3 linked regions of the Arabidopsis thaliana genome follow. The protein of the gene in region 2 interacts with the protein of the main gene of each other region in a pairwise test. Each region holds a gene or a part of one and is shown on either strand. Other genes may lie near its edges.

Evidence for each region.
Region 1: the proteins of IAA33 (region 2) and ARF10 interact in a two-hybrid assay, tested with the Arabidopsis thaliana proteins (2 studies listed by BioGRID).
Region 3: the proteins of IAA33 (region 2) and ARF16 interact in binary tests that used the Arabidopsis thaliana proteins (3 or more experiments, as listed by UniProt).

Annotation. Positions count from the first base shown.
Region 1 is NC_003071.7:12,110,828-12,117,925, forward strand, and holds ARF10 (auxin response factor 10), read left to right. Parts: upstream 1-3,061; 5' UTR 3,062-3,503; coding exon 3,504-4,583; intron 4,584-4,665; coding exon 4,666-5,519; intron 5,520-5,603; coding exon 5,604-5,669; coding exon of another isoform or gene 5,670-5,673; exon of another isoform or gene 5,674-5,756; coding exon 5,757-5,838; 3' UTR 5,839-6,115; downstream 6,116-7,098. UniProt on the Arabidopsis thaliana protein: Auxin response factors (ARFs) are transcriptional factors that bind specifically to the DNA sequence 5'-TGTCTC-3' found in the auxin-responsive promoter elements (AuxREs). Could act as transcriptional activator or repressor.
Region 2 is NC_003076.8:23,266,904-23,272,052, forward strand, and holds IAA33 (indole-3-acetic acid inducible 33), read left to right. Parts: upstream 1-3,010; 5' UTR 3,011-3,120; coding exon 3,121-3,557; intron 3,558-3,977; coding exon 3,978-4,056; 3' UTR 4,057-4,189; downstream 4,190-5,149. Other genes in the region: AT5G57410 (Afadin/alpha-actinin-binding protein), read right to left, coding at 1-52, 225-322, 396-507, 594-619, 706-738; GS1 (Haloacid dehalogenase-like hydrolase (HAD) superfamily protein), read right to left, coding at 4,615-4,744, 4,821-4,900, 5,001-5,148. UniProt on the Arabidopsis thaliana protein: Aux/IAA proteins are short-lived transcriptional factors that function as repressors of early auxin response genes at low auxin concentrations.
Region 3 is NC_003075.7:14,701,661-14,708,623, reverse strand, and holds ARF16 (auxin response factor 16), read left to right. Parts: upstream 1-2,269; 5' UTR 2,270-2,446; intron 2,447-3,039; 5' UTR 3,040-3,059; coding exon 3,060-4,145; intron 4,146-4,220; coding exon 4,221-5,077; intron 5,078-5,185; coding exon 5,186-5,255; 3' UTR 5,256-5,559; downstream 5,560-6,963. UniProt on the Arabidopsis thaliana protein: Auxin response factors (ARFs) are transcriptional factors that bind specifically to the DNA sequence 5'-TGTCTC-3' found in the auxin-responsive promoter elements (AuxREs). Could act as transcriptional activator or repressor.

The sequences.
Region 1 (7,098 bases), on a different chromosome or scaffold from region 2:
ATTTGTATTCTCTCTGTTTTTTCTGTAAGATGTTTTCTTTAAAACTATGCATTTTTAAAAAAATATTTAATATTTAATTTAAAACATTTCAACCAATTATAAAAATTACTACATAATATAAATGACTACAAAATATTAAATAATTTAAACTTTACATAAAAATGCTACAACACATCTAATAAAATAAAACATCTAATTTTGAACAGAGGGGGTGTTCAATCGATCCCTGAAAAACAAATTTCTCTACAAGTTTGGGTATAGAAAAATATTGTGAATGTTAAAGAGAAAACCATTAATTGTTTGTATGTGTGATTAAAGCTTTCCTTTATGCATAGACAGCTTAAAAATAAATAGACCATTAAGCATAGATCAGGAAAGGTAATGTAATAGAGTTTGGGAAAGGAGTTTAATATTTTTTTAACAAACAAATAAGAAAAGAAAAAAAACAAGTTGAAGATAGGATAGGGAGGAGTCATAGGACCAATGGACCATTCATAGATCATAATGCAAGACAACCCACCAACACATTATTCACCATTCTAATTTTGTGTTGCTTCTTTCTAGCCATGTCAAGTCCACATATTAATTATATATGCATTTTATATACACATTTACATGTATACCAGTGTGTGTATTCGAGATAAGATGAAAAAGTATATGGCTGAAATACACTTGAAAGACAAAGAAACTGTGTGTCTTGTCGATGATTTTATGTTTTTTTCAGAAGTCATGCATTAATTGATCCTTTTGTTTTCTTCTTCCCTCCTGGTCCATTTATTCTCTATTAACTATTTTTTGTTTGCTCATTCTTTGAAAACGAACTTAAACAATATTTTATTTACATTTTACGTTAGAATAGTCATGTGATTTATCTCTTAAAATTCACAAGTAGACAAAAAAAATTAGTTACTTCGTTTCATATAAGGTCAATAGAAGTAAGGTCAATAGAAGTAATACATACTTAAGTTGTCTGTTTAGTGTTTGTATAGTTAAAAAGGAGTAAATTTATTACCTACATACGACTATTTTTTTTCAAACTTTTTAATATCAAAACAAGGGACGAATATTAATATAGTTCGTATGAATCCTTTATCGTTGAATGTGACTTAATTATAGAAGATAATAATAGTTCCAATTTATTAATATTGTAGCTAATATTCTCAAATAAAAATAATTGTTGTAGAGACAAAAAGAGATTCGTGTATTTTTTTAACTTATCATTTTTGAAGTTAAGATAGAAAAACATAACTGAAAACCCATGTAAAGCTGTTTTGTGACTAATCTGTTTTGCGAATCTACTTTTAAAAAAACATATTTTTCACAATCAAACACAAATGCAAAATTAGTTTTTTTGTTCTTTTTTCGGAACGACTTAAAGTTTTAAACTGGAAGCAGAAAAATTGACGTTATGCCTCACCTAAGAACAAAACTTAGGCCTTAGATGGAAATCTTTTTAATTTGGACTTTAAGAGTTATTATTCTTCGATGGTAGAAGTTTTTGGTTGAGTTATATAATTAATTTCTAATATTCTAATGAAGTTAGTAAGCTATACTTCCTTATATTACTTTTGTTTGAAGCAAAAAAAACACAAATTTGTTTTTATTATTCAACTAAAATAGACAACGTACGAGGAAAATCTAGTTTTCAAAATATAAAGAAACAGATTTTCTAGATTTTATGAAACTAATTTCTAAAGATGAGACACAAATTTTGAATTATTTCTAACTATACAGAAGGATAAATACAACAAAAACACTTACCAATCAACGTTTAAAATTGTTATGAGTAAATATAATTTGATGGTAAAATAGTTGCAGAGAAAAAAGGACCAATATACGGATGAGTTGGGTATGTCGTGTCAGGTTATAATTGGATAATATTGATCCGACAAAACAATCGACGAGTACAAAACTTCAACGAACTCACTCACACTCCAATCTCCACAATCCCTTTTTAACAGCCGCGTTTTCATCTCTCGGGTCAACCCCCTTCTCCTACTCCCACGTACGTTTTATCCCCACTTTTATGACGTCATTTTACACAACTCATAATTATTCTTTTTTTCCTTCCTAAATAATTATTTATCCGTAATTCTATTTTTTTTTTTCATCAAACATTAGCTTTGTTATTGACGAGCGGTGACATAGTCACGATGAAGAAGATCAGTAATTACATGTGGAACGAAAGCATAAAAATAAAAGAGGTTGTTCAAAGGAATATGTTGTTTTGCTAAAGTATCTGCCACCATATTCGAGCATCTCCGTAATTCTTTCAAAGTTGTGGATCATAATCCATTTTCTTTAGTTTCCTTTTTTCATTAATTGATTTTGAAATTAAAAATCTTTCTAGAAGAAATTTTTATTTTTAAAAAGTTTGACTCCAGAATTTAACTTTAAATCTAAATGAACACTTTATGAAGAAGAAAACCAATAGTCAACTAATGAATATTTTTATTTTATTTATACTTTTGTGTGAAAATTATCAAAAGAAAATTTATTGTGAAATGAGGTGAAATGAGGGAATAATATGCAACTATTTATTTTTCATTTAAATAAAAAGAAACATTTGCATGGGTTAAAAATATCATAGTTTTTACCCCAGTGTAGTACAAAAAAGGACTGTTTATTTGGCATCTAATTTCAACATCATATAATTTACCATGGGTTTAACCTATTTCTTGTTTTACCACAATCGTGTAATGGAACCCATCTTTCACTAACGGGCAAAAAAAAGAGTCAAAGTGAAAAGCAGAAAGTAAAAAAAAAAAGATAAAAAAGATTTAACCATGGTTAGGTTTGTATCTGGTCAAGCATGGTTTCTGATTTTTCGAGTAAAAAATCAAAAATTTGTTGGTACATGTCAAATTATCGCGGCTCGTGATACGATAAATTGCTAATTTTATTATTATTAGTGAAGCAACAAATGAAACAAACAAGTTAGTTGCAGTTTTTTTTAATCAAACAAAAAAACAAAATTTATTTATCTTGAAAACAATTTATTATATATTATTTATATTAAAAAAATGAAAAATAAAAAGAGTTATAAAGTTTGTGTTTGAGATAATCTCTCTGGTTTGTTTGGTTCTTGTTTCTGTATACATCATTACTAAAGAGAAAAACAAGATGTTTATTTATTACGATGGTCTTGTCCGTACCTGATTATAGCATCTCTCTCTATCTCTCTCTTCTTCTTCTACGATCTGATCAGCCATTAAAGCTTTTTCCCCCTTCACTATTATACCTCTTTTGAAGTGAAACAAAATCATAAAAGTCGAAACTTTACTGTTTCCTCTGCAAATTTAAACTCTAATCTCTCTCTCTCTCTCTATCTCTTTCACTTCGCTTTCTCTATTTCCCCTGAAACCGTTCTTGTCTCTCTCTCTCTCTCTCTCTCTCTTCTTCTCTGCTCAAGACAAGAACTTGATGTTCATGTCTTGAAACTTAACAAAGTATTGATCTTTCCTTTTAAGTAAAGAATTTGGGGGTTACACAACTTCGTCTAGATGGAGCAAGAGAAAAGCTTGGATCCACAACTATGGCATGCTTGTGCAGGATCAATGGTTCAAATCCCTTCACTGAATTCAACGGTTTTTTACTTCGCTCAAGGCCACACAGAGCACGCTCACGCGCCTCCTGATTTTCACGCGCCGCGCGTTCCACCTCTTATCCTCTGTCGTGTCGTCTCCGTGAAGTTCCTCGCCGACGCTGAAACAGACGAAGTTTTTGCTAAAATTACGCTTTTGCCACTTCCGGGAAACGACTTGGATCTAGAAAACGACGCCGTTTTGGGTCTAACTCCTCCTTCTTCTGACGGTAACGGTAACGGTAAAGAGAAACCGGCGTCTTTCGCTAAAACGTTAACGCAGTCTGACGCTAATAACGGCGGTGGTTTCTCCGTTCCACGTTATTGCGCCGAGACGATTTTCCCGCGGCTTGATTACTCGGCGGAGCCACCGGTTCAAACCGTGATTGCTAAAGACATCCACGGCGAGACTTGGAAATTCCGGCATATTTACAGAGGAACACCTCGCCGTCATCTCCTAACCACCGGTTGGAGCACTTTCGTTAACCAGAAGAAACTAATCGCCGGAGACTCAATCGTCTTCCTCCGTTCTGAATCCGGTGACCTCTGCGTCGGAATCCGCCGCGCTAAACGCGGCGGTCTCGGATCTAACGCAGGATCCGACAATCCTTACCCTGGATTCTCCGGTTTCCTCCGTGACGACGAGTCAACAACAACAACATCGAAGCTAATGATGATGAAACGCAACGGAAACAACGACGGAAACGCCGCGGCTACAGGGAGGGTTAGAGTAGAAGCAGTAGCGGAAGCGGTGGCGCGTGCAGCGTGTGGACAAGCGTTTGAGGTTGTTTATTATCCACGCGCTAGTACACCGGAGTTTTGCGTAAAAGCAGCTGATGTTAGATCAGCAATGAGGATAAGATGGTGTAGTGGTATGCGTTTTAAAATGGCGTTTGAAACAGAGGATTCTTCTAGAATCAGTTGGTTTATGGGTACTGTCTCCGCCGTTCAAGTCGCTGATCCAATTCGTTGGCCTAATTCACCATGGCGTCTCCTTCAGGTTAGTTAGTTACTCAAAGTCTCTTCCTTTTAACAGAATCCATGTTTGTTTGTTAATGTTACGGTTATATTGGTTGTTATAGGTAGCTTGGGACGAACCGGATTTGTTACAAAACGTTAAGCGGGTTAGTCCGTGGTTAGTCGAATTGGTATCGAACATGCCTACAATACATTTATCTCCATTCTCTCCGAGGAAGAAGATTAGGATTCCGCAGCCATTTGAGTTTCCATTCCACGGTACTAAATTCCCGATTTTCTCCCCGGGATTCGCCAACAATGGCGGTGGCGAGTCCATGTGTTATCTGTCAAACGACAACAATAATGCTCCTGCAGGAATACAGGGAGCCAGGCAAGCTCAACAACTCTTCGGATCACCATCTCCGTCTTTGTTGTCTGATCTCAATCTTAGTAGTTACACCGGTAACAACAAGTTACATTCTCCGGCGATGTTTCTATCGAGTTTCAACCCGAGGCATCATCATTATCAGGCTAGGGATAGTGAGAATAGTAATAACATTTCGTGTTCTTTAACTATGGGGAATCCTGCTATGGTTCAGGATAAGAAGAAGTCTGTTGGTTCGGTTAAGACTCATCAGTTCGTGTTGTTCGGTCAACCGATTTTAACCGAACAGCAAGTTATGAACCGAAAACGGTTTTTGGAAGAAGAGGCGGAAGCGGAGGAGGAGAAAGGTTTAGTGGCTCGTGGGTTAACATGGAATTATAGTTTGCAAGGACTTGAGACGGGTCATTGTAAAGTTTTCATGGAATCTGAGGATGTTGGACGCACACTCGATCTCTCGGTTATTGGCTCGTACCAAGAATTGTACCGGAAATTGGCTGAGATGTTTCATATAGAAGAGAGGTCGGATTTGTTGACTCATGTTGTGTACCGGGATGCAAATGGTGTTATCAAACGTATTGGAGACGAACCTTTCAGGTAAAAATCTCAAAAGAATTCTTTCAATTAACCGTTTGTTTGCGATTATCGTCATTTGATTGATTAACCGGTTTAAAAATGCAGTGATTTCATGAAAGCAACTAAACGGCTAACAATCAAGATGGATATTGGTGGCGACAACGTGAGAAAGTAAGTCTATCTCAAGCTCACATTTCGGGTTTGATTATATACCGATTGGAATACCGAGTTTAGTTTGCTTTTTTCGGGTTTGCATAGGACGTGGATAACCGGAATCAGGACTGGTGAAAATGGTATAGACGCTTCTACGAAGACTGGTCCGCTCAGCATCTTCGCTTGAACTTGAAGCATATTGAGGAATAAGCAGTGGCCTTTGTTTTGAACCTAATTTTATTTCTGTCTTTAATTCTCTTTTTTCCCTATTTTAAATCCTTTTTTTGCTGGTCTTTTGTGTGTAACAAACCATTCCCAAGTGTTACCAAAAGTACTCTAATTGGTATTTGAATTTATTTGTTTTGGTTGCAAGTTGTATATGATAATCAAAGAACCTGCCATATCACTTGGTAATACCTAGCAAAAGCTAAATTTGAAGAAGAGACTATTATGAGTAAAATGTGTGTATTATGGTTCACTTCTACGAATAGTATATAAAAATTGCTTACATATAATTTCACATTTTGGGTGTTGAACTATGAACTAAGTAACAAAAAGCCTATATCATTCAATTCTCTTTAATGGAAACAAATTTTCCTATTAAATTTGTTTTTGTAGCTTGTTAGCTAACTTTTTTGTAAGATAAAAGTGGAAATTATTTTGTCTTGTTAGCTAACTTTTTTTTTTGTGCTAGCTACTGTTAGCTAAATTATTGTTTCAAAAGCTTCCCTAAACTGTTGGTTATTTTTATATTATTGTTTTACATATTTCTTGTAAGAGAATATTCACCAATAAATTTCACTCACCGATACTTTAATGGAATTTTCCTGCAAGAAAATAAATAAATATTAATTGTCCATCGGATCTACATGAATTTCATAATTTGGTCTCCTCCTTCACTGCCTCCATATTTAATTAGTTCAATCAATAGCAGAGGAAGATCTATTAAATATTTGGTTTAAGATACCTTCATTTGTACTTAAAGTTAGTTGCTTTGAAAATTAACCACATACTATTTTATTCACACACACGTACGTTTATACAACTTTCTGCTGAGAACAAGAAATTGAATCTTTAAAAATCGACAGAAACAGAAAATGATTATAATATCTACAATGTTTCATGGGATATGTTTTACTTTTACTCACAGGTTACTTGGAATCTATTTACTTATGTATTAATCTATATATATAAATTGTTATCGAATCTCTATCATAAGTTCATACATATTACCAAATCTTGATGGCTTTTAGATCTATAATCCTCTTCTTTTGATCGTTTATATTACAGTTTAATTTGACGAGACAACATAATTAGTGAAATTTGGGGAAGATAATTAGAAAAAAATTAAAGAAAGGATTTGGGGATCTGAAATGAGGAAAACATGACAGCAAAAACTTGACTGTCTCGGTGAAGATGTCGAAAAAGTCAAAGGAGAAGTCATGAG
Region 2 (5,149 bases):
CGCTTCAAGCCTCTCAACTTTAGCTTCAAGTCTAGCTATATCCGATTGCTGTCTACACACAGTAAGGGAAATGCACATAAACCACAAGGAAACATTCTTCCGCAAAATCAAAGTAGATAAAACTGCTACAATCTCCAGACCAATACTAATCCTCAAAGAACAATTTCAATTAACCACAATGCAATGCAAAGCAAATTGAAAGAAGGAAGAAAAACAAAATTCACCTCTGTCTCAGCTCATTAGCAGATTCTCTAAACTCTATATCACGTTGTCGCTGCTGCAGCAACGAGTACATACAATTGCAGGTCCTTGATATAGAAACCTAAATCAAACAAAAACCCTAATTAAAACCCCAAAACATCCAAACAATTTCAGCATCAATAATAAGAACCTACAGGATCATTCGAAAAGAGATCGAGCGAGGCGGGAAATCCAAATGTAACCATCGTCTGATTCAAATACTTCGTACAATGCTCCAAGTTATCCTCATTCGCAAATGTGTAATCCCTTCTCAATCAAAAAAACAAAAATTCCAATCAGTACTCATTGGAGATTTTAAAGTAAACCCTAGGGGGATTAAGAAGAAAACTAACCCTGCTGACGCAGATTGAGATAAAACCTGTGAAGAAGAAACCATAGAATCAGTCAATGGAGCTTGAAATTGAAATTCGATGAGGAAAACAAATCGGAAAACAGTAATCTTACTTTGAGATCGTATTCAGCATCATTCGCCGGCATTTTCGAAACGGCGATGAGAGCTTCCACCTCCGGCGAAAACGGCGGCGTGAGCAAACGATGAAACAGAGAATCAATTCACAGGAACAGATCTAATCTAAGCAGAGAGAGAGAGAGAGCGAAAACAAATTCAAAAATCAAAAATATCTGAAACGGAATGTTTCTGGAGAAGAGCGAAAATAAAAGTTTTTAAAACCTTTTTCACTTTGCTTTTTATTTCAGTAATAATAATCAAAAGGATTTGTTTTTGTGATAATGAGCTTTAAGGAAATGATCCTGTGAAGAGACACCTACTGGCTTCAGTGCTCCTCCACGTGATTTTGACGCGCCAACTGTTTAGGCTTTAAGAGAAGGAAGAATGTGGGCCCATACTGTTTTAATTGGGCCTATTAAGGCTTTATTGAGCTGATGTGTAAGGCCTGTTTAGACTTGTGCTAATGTTGGATGAGCATGACAAAATGATTATCATTGTTTGGTTAGAAACAGACCAAAACAGCGGGTAAGTGTTTGATTGTTATTTAAATTTTGATTATTATCGGGGAGTGGAATAAGCAAACATTAACGTATGTCTGTAGAATCGAAAAAAAACAAAAATCGAGACAAATTAATTAGATGATTAAATATAACATGTAGACGTAGTAATGTGTTAAACTATAGTCCTAAATTGAGATCTATGAAACCGAGGTAAGTTTTAAATATTTCCATGCCTCCATGTCGGATCTTCGAGTCTTCTAATTCGAATCCCGAGTTGAAATTTAAATGTATAGAGTAAATTATTGTTTGCTTCAAACTTAAGAAAATATGCTTCTTGTGCTTCGTTTTATGTCTTCTTGGGTTTGCTTTAGCTTATTCACCTATTGCTTGTTGGATCCACCGTTAATTTTTCATTTAATAGTCCATATGAAAATCAACATTTTAGCATAAAATTACAATTTTAGGCACAGTTATTTGACTCATACATGATTTACCTATACATTTGGTCACTCAACTTAATTATTTGCGATTTTAAAATCGTGTATAATGTTTTAAAATGACTTGAATTGGAATCAACTAATTTTAGGTAGCTCGAACAAACTTGTTATTTATTTATTTTCAGATAAGTTCCGTACACCAAAATCTATAACCGAAAAGACTTTGGATTATATTGTATGAGTTTAGAGTGCAATTCTTCTTTTTTTCCCTCTTTTTTGATCTAAGAAATTTCTAATTAAGTTCACATATTTTCTTGGATCTAATCACTCTAAACAACTCCTCCCAAATAACATGAGTTTTCATTATTATTAGAGGGGTGATGTCTACATTTTGGACCAAGGTCTAATACTTTGTTTTACTTTCGTCAAACCGAGTTAAATCCGAGAAGTATGAGATCAAACGTTAAACGTATTCATGTGTGTGTATGTGATGTTACATGGATAAATGGCTATGCATGTATATTCTATATGACGTTGATGTGTGGTCGTGTGGATATATGCGTGTGTTTACCGGTTAATACAATTTTTATATTCTTCGTATGTATGCTTGATGTGTGTATTAGTGTATGAAAAGAAAATGACGTGGAACTCCCGACCAGGCGCGAGTCAAGGAAGCGAGGCGTTCGGCGACGGCAGCGCGGTCGTCTCCGCAGCCCATGCGTTACAATTTACAAGATCTCTTTTTCTATGATACCTTCTTTCATTATTTAATTAATCACCAATTTATAATGTCTTTAATTAATTTGGAGTTTTCTAGCTAATTCACATTTCTTATTATATTGACTCTTTTTCACTGTTTTTATGTTTTCCCATCAGCTTTCTTTTTGTCCACGTAAACATTTCCAAACATTTTTATTTTAAAATTTCTTTATACTTGTATACATAAATACCTAATACCTTGCTGGTAATATATGGTCAAAATTAGTGAAACCTTGGAACATTTCCTGTAACAGCTCTTATTACTCTCACAGTCGCAGTGATAGATATATAGTAGAATAAGTTAGCAAAATACAATAATTGTAAAAACACATTTAATACATAAGCATGTGAGAACATTTTTACGTGAATCCAATTGTTCATTGAATAATTAAATATTAAATTGATTGTTAATTGAGGATTCATTGTCTAACGAGAAATCCAAAGAGCAGATGTACTTTCAAATTAAATGAAACATTTAAGACAACATTAAACCAAACGAAAATTGAAAAATGAAAAATAAAAGACACCTTTTTGTTTGCCACACAATTTACGCTTTCTCTATCTATTTATATGTACATACATTCACTTTCACCAGAATCTCATCAAACACACAGTCTCTCTCTAGCTTAACAAAAAAACACGAAACACTTTGAGTTCCATGTAAGCGTCCGTTGTCTTCTCTAAGTTACAAAAGCCCTAAAACCCTACTCTCAATATGAATAGTTTCGAGCCACAAAGCCAAGACTCTTTGCAAAGAAGGTTTCATCAAGACAACAGCACCACACAACAACCTCGTGACACCACGACACCTTTCATACCCAAACCGGCTTCCAAAAACCATAATAATAGCAACTCCAGCTCTGGAGCGGCCGGGAGATCATTCCAAGGCTTTGGGCTTAACGTAGAGGACGATCTTGTTTCATCGGTGGTTCCTCCGGTTACGGTTGTGCTAGAGGGACGTTCTATATGTCAACGCATAAGCCTAGACAAGCATGGGAGTTATCAGAGCTTGGCTTCGGCTCTAAGGCAAATGTTTGTCGATGGAGCTGATTCAACGGACGATCTTGATCTGTCAAACGCCATTCCTGGCCATCTTATTGCTTATGAAGACATGGAGAACGATCTCCTTCTTGCCGGAGATCTTACTTGGAAGTAATTTTCCTCCCCTAACATTAATTTTCTTTATTATTGTCAGGATGGCCATATATATACAAACTATATATAAAACGAGCCTTATTTTAAACATAGGAAAACTATATTAATTTTTTTTCCCCTAACGGTAAAATACTACAAACACAAGTTTTTCAAGCTGCCAAGAAAACACATGTTCTCTGCTTTTCTAAAAAGACAAATATCAATAATTTAGTGAAATGATATTTTGTTGCTATCCTTATTCTGTATACTCAATTTTGCTGGCTATAGTTATTTTGTTTGATACCGTTATATATCTTTCTTAAAAATTACGGTTTTCGTTCAATGTTTAGTATAATTAGATTTTGAAGGTTTCGTGATCTTTAACTGGCAATATTTTAATACTTGGACGTTAACGAGAAAATTTGCTTGTTGACACAGGGACTTTGTTCGTGTAGCGAAGAGAATTCGAATCTTGCCGGTCAAGGGAAACACAAGACAAGTTAAAAGAAACGAGTGAGGAGGAGAAAGACCGTTTTTGCAACGATGTCATACGATGTTTTGTAACAGCCGATGTCGGTTGAATCCTAATGGCATTACTGTAAAATCATCATTGGATGTGTTTGCTTCTTTGTTCACGTACGAAATGAAAAATAAAAAAAAAGTTGTAATACTAAATATAACCTATTTTTCTTAATTATAGTGTAAAACATGAAACGTTGCAGTAACAACACATGTTAGTGATGCGTAAAGAAGAGAGATTCCAAACCATAAAGAAGGAATCAATTCAGCTATACCGACAAGAACAAAATAAGATAAGCCAATGTTGAAACTTGTGGGTAAGAGTAGTTGTACAAAAATAATTTGTTTAAACGTTGAGGCAAATTTTTTTGTTTGGTCTCTCGTCATGTCACCACTTAGTTTCTTTTTATGTCTTCAATAGCCAGAAAATCATAGAACCCTTGACGACATAAAGCCTCATGGCCTTTGTCATGTACATGCCAAAACAATATAACAAGACAAAGAATAAGCTTCATGATTTGAGTTTTTATCATTACCTTGAAGACGTTTGTATCGTTTAGTTCGAATCTTCGAATGGAGGCAAGCCCCACTCTTCCGGTTTAAAATCGACTAGAGAGGTTATGATTTGATCTGCAACATCTTGGTGAGAGATATCTAGTCTAGGATCCGGTACCATAACCACGTTCCTGTAGATAGACATCAAGATGTATAAACTTGTTTCTCGGTTTTTATTGGCTTTTACATGAAGAGAAACCCACTTACATTCCGGCGTTTTTAGCAGCAAGAACTCCAGATGGAGCATCTTCAAACACCAGAACCTTTTGTGAATCCACAGGACCGTCCTAAGGAATCCAGACGAAGAGGAAACATTAGTCTACAACTCATTTTAAATATGAACTAGTTAGTAATGGAGAATCTTGGAGACTGTTGCCTGTTAGTTACCTTAAATCTCCTAGCAGCAGCGAGAAACCCGTCAGGAGCAGGCTTTCCTTGCTTCACCTCTGGATCATCACCACGAACTACGTGATGCATCAATGAGAAAAGCTCTCTGTGTCTTTGGGTTTTCAGATCATAATGCCGTGTGTGAGTAC
Region 3 (6,963 bases), on a different chromosome or scaffold from region 2:
GGAAAAAAAAACTATTTTGTGAAGACAAAATGGGAGAAAGAAAAGGACAAGAGAGAGTCAATGTCTATAACGACTGTTTGTGTCTGATCCCAATTTCATGTCTTTATATGTCTTCTCCTTTATAGGTCGCTTTTCATTTACGCTCTTTCTTGTTTTTAGCTTTCATTTCTCTTTTTAGCTTTTATTTTATCATTCTGTTTTTTTTCTTTTGTCCAAACTATTTTTCAAATTTTTTATCAAATCCATTATATGTGAATAAAATAAAAACCATAAACCCAAATAATTGAATGGAACAAACAAACTAAAATGTATAAATTGAAAAATAAAACAAGCAAGAAATATTGGCGAGCATTTCCATTTCCGTCATGTCTCGTTGCTGTCTATAAATAATTTTTTCTTTTTAAGAAATTTGTTTCGTCCAGTTCTCGCAAAATCCCAAATTGTGGTTTGCCAACCCCTAAAAATATAACATGATTATTAGTAGATTGAGTTCACATGCCCAAGTTTTTCCAAAAGTTAGCCCAAATCTAAATTACATTATTAACGACACTTGTGGTCATGAGGAACATCGATAAACATAGAAGGTGTAACCACTAAGGAGTATTACATGCAAATGTGGTAACCAAAATCTGAAGGAATAATAAGAGGACAATTAGATCAGATCCGGTGGTTTAAGATTCAAATACCGAATTTGCCCTTGTGACATGTAAATTATTACTGGATTAACATAAATGGAGACACACGTAATAACTATTGACAAGGAAAGTATGTGGTATTGACCAAACAACACACATACACAGACACACTTCAAACTTAACCATGGTTACTCACACGTGATATGTCCTCCGGTTAAATATGTTTTCATTATCATTGTTAATTATTATTTTCTTATTATCACATTCCCATATATTAAAAGATTTTAGTGTTATCTAAAATAATTTCAGATTATAATTTCAGTTTCATAATTCCAATCTTGAAAATTTTGGTTCTTATACTTGTGTATATAATTGGATATTGGATTTTTGTTTACGTATGGCCTAGATCAAACTCTTGGTATTATTAATTGGAAAGCTAACTCTTACGACAAAAAAATACAATGACACATGCGGAAATTTATTGAGCCTTGCTACGATCATGTAGGATTGACATATGTATGTCGTATCTCTATCTTATTTGGATATATAGGGTATAGTCATATCAGAGAAATTTTCTAAAATGTTTTCTTAGGATCCTTAAATTATATTTTAAAAGGATTATCTAAGTCTCCTGATTTCCTATGAATTGGTTCGCAACCTACGAAAAAACTATGGGATCAAAAGCAAAAAATTCTAAGTTTTTTTTTCAACTTTGGTAAATTTTAACATAAATAGTTAGATGTTTATCTCCCTTCATTCCTTTTTGAAACCAATAATTTTAATCTTCCTTTCACTTACCATTTAGAAAAACACACGAAACTATGTTTTTTGTTTTTAAAAATATGTGTACCTCATATATATGCTGCATGTACAGCCTTTATACGTCTATATGCAGTTGTGTATTTCATATAATTATACTATACAAATAGAACATAAAATAGAACTATAGTTATTTACAACACAATATATATATATATATACAGCTGTATAATGTATTTTAGAATACTAGTCTGGGCCAATCAAACGGGAATATAAAAACCCGAGGTAGAATTTTATTTTTACATCGTTTAAACACAAAGAAAGATGGTTAGCAACAGCAAATTGCTTACATGGTTATCAACAAAATATCGTGTTTCGTAAACAATAAGTTAAAAATAATTCAATGAACTATTGGGATTATCAAATCAAACTGTAAAAATTAGTTTATTCAAAGAACAATTAATGGCTGAGTTAATTAGCTTGCCTTGAATTGTTAAATAATTAGATGCTTCTAATCAGATTTCAAGGAGATATGTCGGAAGCACCGACGACACGTGCGGATCCGTCACGTGCGCGATTCAACTCTTTAACTCGTATGTCGATATTTCTTTTTTTAATTCTCTTCTTTTTTCACACTCCATATTGTCGATTTTTATGCCCGGAATCAAGGGTTTGACTTACCAAATTGTTACCTTCTTTTAGGCTTAAAATTTATTACACTTAAAATAATCCGGATTAATATTTTCTAAAAAATTCACTAACTAGAGAAGAAATAATAATAAAAAAGACATGTGAAAGAGTTAATGAAAGTTGAGAAAAAAGAGATAATATTATTTTTATTTTATTTTTAGTTTTGTTTTTCTGCAGAAGAGCCAAAGCTCTTTCCTTCATATATACGAACCCCTTTTTCCATTTTCTTTGTGCAAAAAGTGTAACCTTCCTTATCCGATTCTGAAGCAGAAATTAGCTGCAGAATCTTCAGATTCTCTCTATACCTAGATTGGTTTTTCACAGAATCTTCGCTATTTTGTTCAGATCTGCCACTGTTTCAGGTTTGAACTAATTTTACATAAATTTTCTCTCCTAATCTTTCTCTGTTTCATCTTTGGTTTTCTCAATCGATTCGATATGAATTTGATTTGGTTTAGCTTGATTCGATTTGATCATCATGTCTAACTAGTTCTATCTAACTTTGTTAGTTTACTGTTCTTTTGTGTGGTTCTTGTTCTTACTTCAGACCGATCTATGTTTTTTTTGCTTTGTCTGCTTCACACAACACAATCGTGAGCTTGCTCTTATGAAAATCTAATCTAACTAAATTTTCTTAATTTGTGGTCTTTTTAATTTCATAATGGATTAATAAACTAAATATCCTCAAAACGTTCTTGAAGTTTTATAATTTGTATTTTTTGTTTTCTCCGGAGATTTGGTATTTGAAATCTTCTTACTATCTGAAATGACCCTTTTTGTCGGTTTTTCTTGAATCTTTTTATTTATTTTTATTTTCCGGGAAAATTTCGTTTGTTAGGTAAAGTTGACTGATACAAAGGACTTGAGTTGCTAAATAAAAAGCATTTGTATTGTGCTTTTGTTTGGTTACTCTGTTCTCAAACAAAAGCTGATACATTTGTATTTGTTGTTGCAGCAAAAACGGTCACAAAAAATATGATAAATGTGATGAATCCAATGAAAGGTGGAACAGAGAAAGGTTTAGATCCTCAGCTATGGCATGCATGTGCTGGTGGTATGGTTCGTATGCCTCCTATGAACTCTAAAGTCTTTTACTTTCCTCAAGGTCACGCCGAAAACGCTTACGATTGTGTCGATTTCGGTAATCTCCCTATTCCTCCCATGGTTTTGTGTCGTGTTTTAGCCATTAAGTATATGGCTGATGCTGAATCTGACGAGGTTTTCGCTAAACTGAGATTGATTCCTTTGAAAGATGATGAGTATGTTGATCACGAGTATGGTGATGGTGAAGATAGTAACGGTTTCGAGAGTAATAGTGAGAAAACGCCTTCGTTTGCTAAGACTTTGACTCAGTCTGATGCTAATAACGGTGGGGGTTTCTCTGTTCCTCGTTATTGCGCTGAGACGATTTTCCCGAGGTTGGATTATAACGCCGAGCCGCCGGTTCAGACCATTCTTGCTAAGGATGTTCATGGTGATGTTTGGAAGTTCAGACATATTTATAGAGGGACGCCTCGGCGTCACCTTCTTACAACCGGATGGAGTAATTTTGTAAACCAGAAGAAGCTTGTGGCGGGAGATTCGATTGTCTTCATGAGAGCGGAGAATGGAGATCTTTGTGTAGGTATTAGGAGGGCTAAGAGAGGAGGGATAGGTAATGGACCCGAATATTCAGCGGGTTGGAATCCGATCGGTGGAAGTTGCGGCTACTCTTCTCTGTTAAGGGAAGATGAAAGCAATAGTTTGAGGAGAAGTAATTGTTCCCTTGCGGATAGGAAGGGGAAAGTGACGGCTGAATCTGTTATAGAAGCAGCCACTCTTGCTATTAGCGGAAGACCGTTTGAGGTTGTGTACTATCCGAGAGCTAGCACTTCAGAGTTTTGTGTCAAGGCATTAGATGCTCGAGCTGCCATGCGGATTCCGTGGTGCTCAGGTATGAGGTTTAAGATGGCTTTTGAGACAGAGGATTCGTCTCGGATAAGTTGGTTTATGGGGACTGTTTCAGCTGTTAATGTCTCTGATCCTATCCGTTGGCCTAACTCTCCTTGGCGGCTTCTACAGGTAAACAAACACTCAAAATTTTCTTCTAGCTCAAGTTAGAATATAGACTCATAGGTTGCATTTTTGTGTTTTCAGGTGGCGTGGGATGAGCCAGATTTACTCCAAAACGTGAAGCGAGTTAACCCGTGGTTGGTGGAATTGGTATCAAACGTACATCCGATCCCGCTTACTTCGTTTTCGCCACCGAGGAAAAAGATGCGGCTACCTCAGCATCCAGATTACAACAATCTGATCAATTCGATTCCAGTACCTTCATTCCCAAGCAATCCCCTTATTAGATCAAGCCCGTTAAGCTCTGTTCTGGACAATGTTCCCGTGGGTTTACAGGGAGCCAGGCATAATGCTCATCAGTACTACGGGTTATCATCTTCGGATCTTCACCATTACTACTTGAATAGACCACCTCCTCCTCCTCCTCCATCCTCTCTCCAACTTTCTCCTTCTCTCGGTCTCCGAAACATCGATACCAAAAACGAAAAAGGATTTTGCTTTTTGACAATGGGAACAACACCATGCAATGATACCAAATCTAAAAAGTCCCATATTGTATTGTTCGGCAAGCTTATACTACCCGAGGAACAGCTATCAGAAAAAGGCTCAACGGATACCGCAAACATAGAGAAAACGCAGATTTCATCAGGCGGGTCGAACCAAAACGGCGTTGCGGGAAGGGAGTTTTCTTCGTCAGATGAAGGATCACCTTGCTCTAAGAAAGTTCATGATGCATCAGGTTTGGAAACAGGGCATTGTAAAGTGTTTATGGAGTCAGACGATGTAGGTCGAACCTTAGACCTATCGGTTCTTGGTTCATACGAAGAATTGAGTCGGAAACTCTCTGACATGTTTGGAATCAAAAAGTCTGAGATGTTAAGCTCTGTTCTCTATAGGGATGCATCAGGAGCCATCAAATACGCAGGAAACGAACCTTTCAGGTACATTTTTTTATTATAGACAAGATTGTCATATTTTTCGTACTATTTTGATGATGAAGTAAAAGAAAACATCTAATAGTTGTTGGTGTTTTGACTCATCTTTGGCAGTGAGTTCTTGAAGACAGCTCGAAGATTGACAATTCTGACGGAACAAGGAAGTGAGAGCGTTGTAGTATAACTTGGCAGAGTGTTTTGTTGGAGCTTGGAAGTCAAAACTCAACGATTGAATCTTTTAAGTTTTTTTTTTCTTTTATTTGTTTATTTTAGTTCCACTTTTTTGGATTATGTAAGTTTCAAAATGCAATTCACAATCTATTTGCAAATAAAATAGGTTCTTCTTCCCTTGAAAAGCTTCATTGATCAAATAGGGTATAAGAACCAAAGTCTAGACGGCAAATTATGATATGTTTGTCAAAGTCACTTCAATTTGTCTACAAATTAGTGATGACACGCATAAACCAATAGGCCTCAAACATGGTTGCATTGCTTACTTTGATTCATTATGTAATATATAAAGTGATTTTTCTTTAAATATTTCATTATTTGTTTCTTGGGATCAATAAGTTGTTGAGAGGTATGAAAAGTAATAAAAATCTGGAAGACAATTAGTTAGGGTGATGCGAGGGTCATGTCTCTAGGCACATGCACAACAAACAACGGTCGGATCCTATGTTTGACAAAACACAAAGTCCTCAACACCTAAGTTAAGTTGGATCTCCCACTTTTCATTTATAACTCAAAACTATATATATATTTAAAAGATTTTCAGATTCCAATGTATACACAACGAAAATTCCATATCATCTTCAACCTACTAATTATAAATGTACAACGAAAGTACTCTATATTCGCTTCTCGGTTCTCAAAGTCAATGAAGTTCTAAACTCACTTTTTCTCTGCTTATTTAATGTAAAAAGACCAAAAGTTCTAGCCCTTTTTACTTTCTAGTCTTTAATCTTATATAAAACCATACTCACTTTTTCTGTTCCAACCTAATGTCCTATAATGTTCCAATCTCAAGTCTTAATCATGATAGATTTGTAAAAATGTTTTTGTAAAATGACTTGTCCACTCTCAGACCTAATCTGACGACGCTTCTAGACATCAATACAAAAATGAATATGACTTGAGAGTGATGGACATCATGAAATGTGTAAATAGACGAAAGGGAGATATTTTAAATCCAGTTACATGTCATGATTAGAGTTAATATAAATTGAACCAAAACTCAATTATTGTAGCTTAAGAGAGAGTATGAACATTGTATACAAAAATAGATACACACATAAATTAATTGCATATCTGAATAAATCAAAAGTTTAGGAGTTTACATTAATCAAAAGTGATTGTGACAACTCTACGTATGAAGTTGACTCTTGAACCACACATGTTCAGAATTCACAATCCCAACAAGATCATAAGAGAAAACAAACAGCAAAATGAGAGATACATGGGGTAGTCTTGATTTGGATTAATCATTTAATTAATCAAAGTAGTCAAGTTAATCAACTGGCGATCATAATATATATGTTAATTATTAGGACAAAATACTTAGGGTTTTGCAACAAAACTATTGTTAACCATGGTTGAGTACTTGAGTTAAGACGATATCGACAGAAACAAGTGTGACAAAAGTCAAAGAGGAGAAGCGACAGAGTAGCGAACGTTGTGGCACTTTGAATACTATTTTTTATGTAAAATAAACAAATAATTTTTCTTAAATAATAGATTTAAAAAGTAAAAAAAAGAGGACAAGAGAATTAAAAAGAGGCACGAGGTAGACAAAGATTCGTGAGGCAAGGAAATGCCAACTCGAAGGCCTTTCTTTACGTGAAGAAACATCAATGCATGTGTCCTCTTCATATTCACAATTACACTTAAATCTG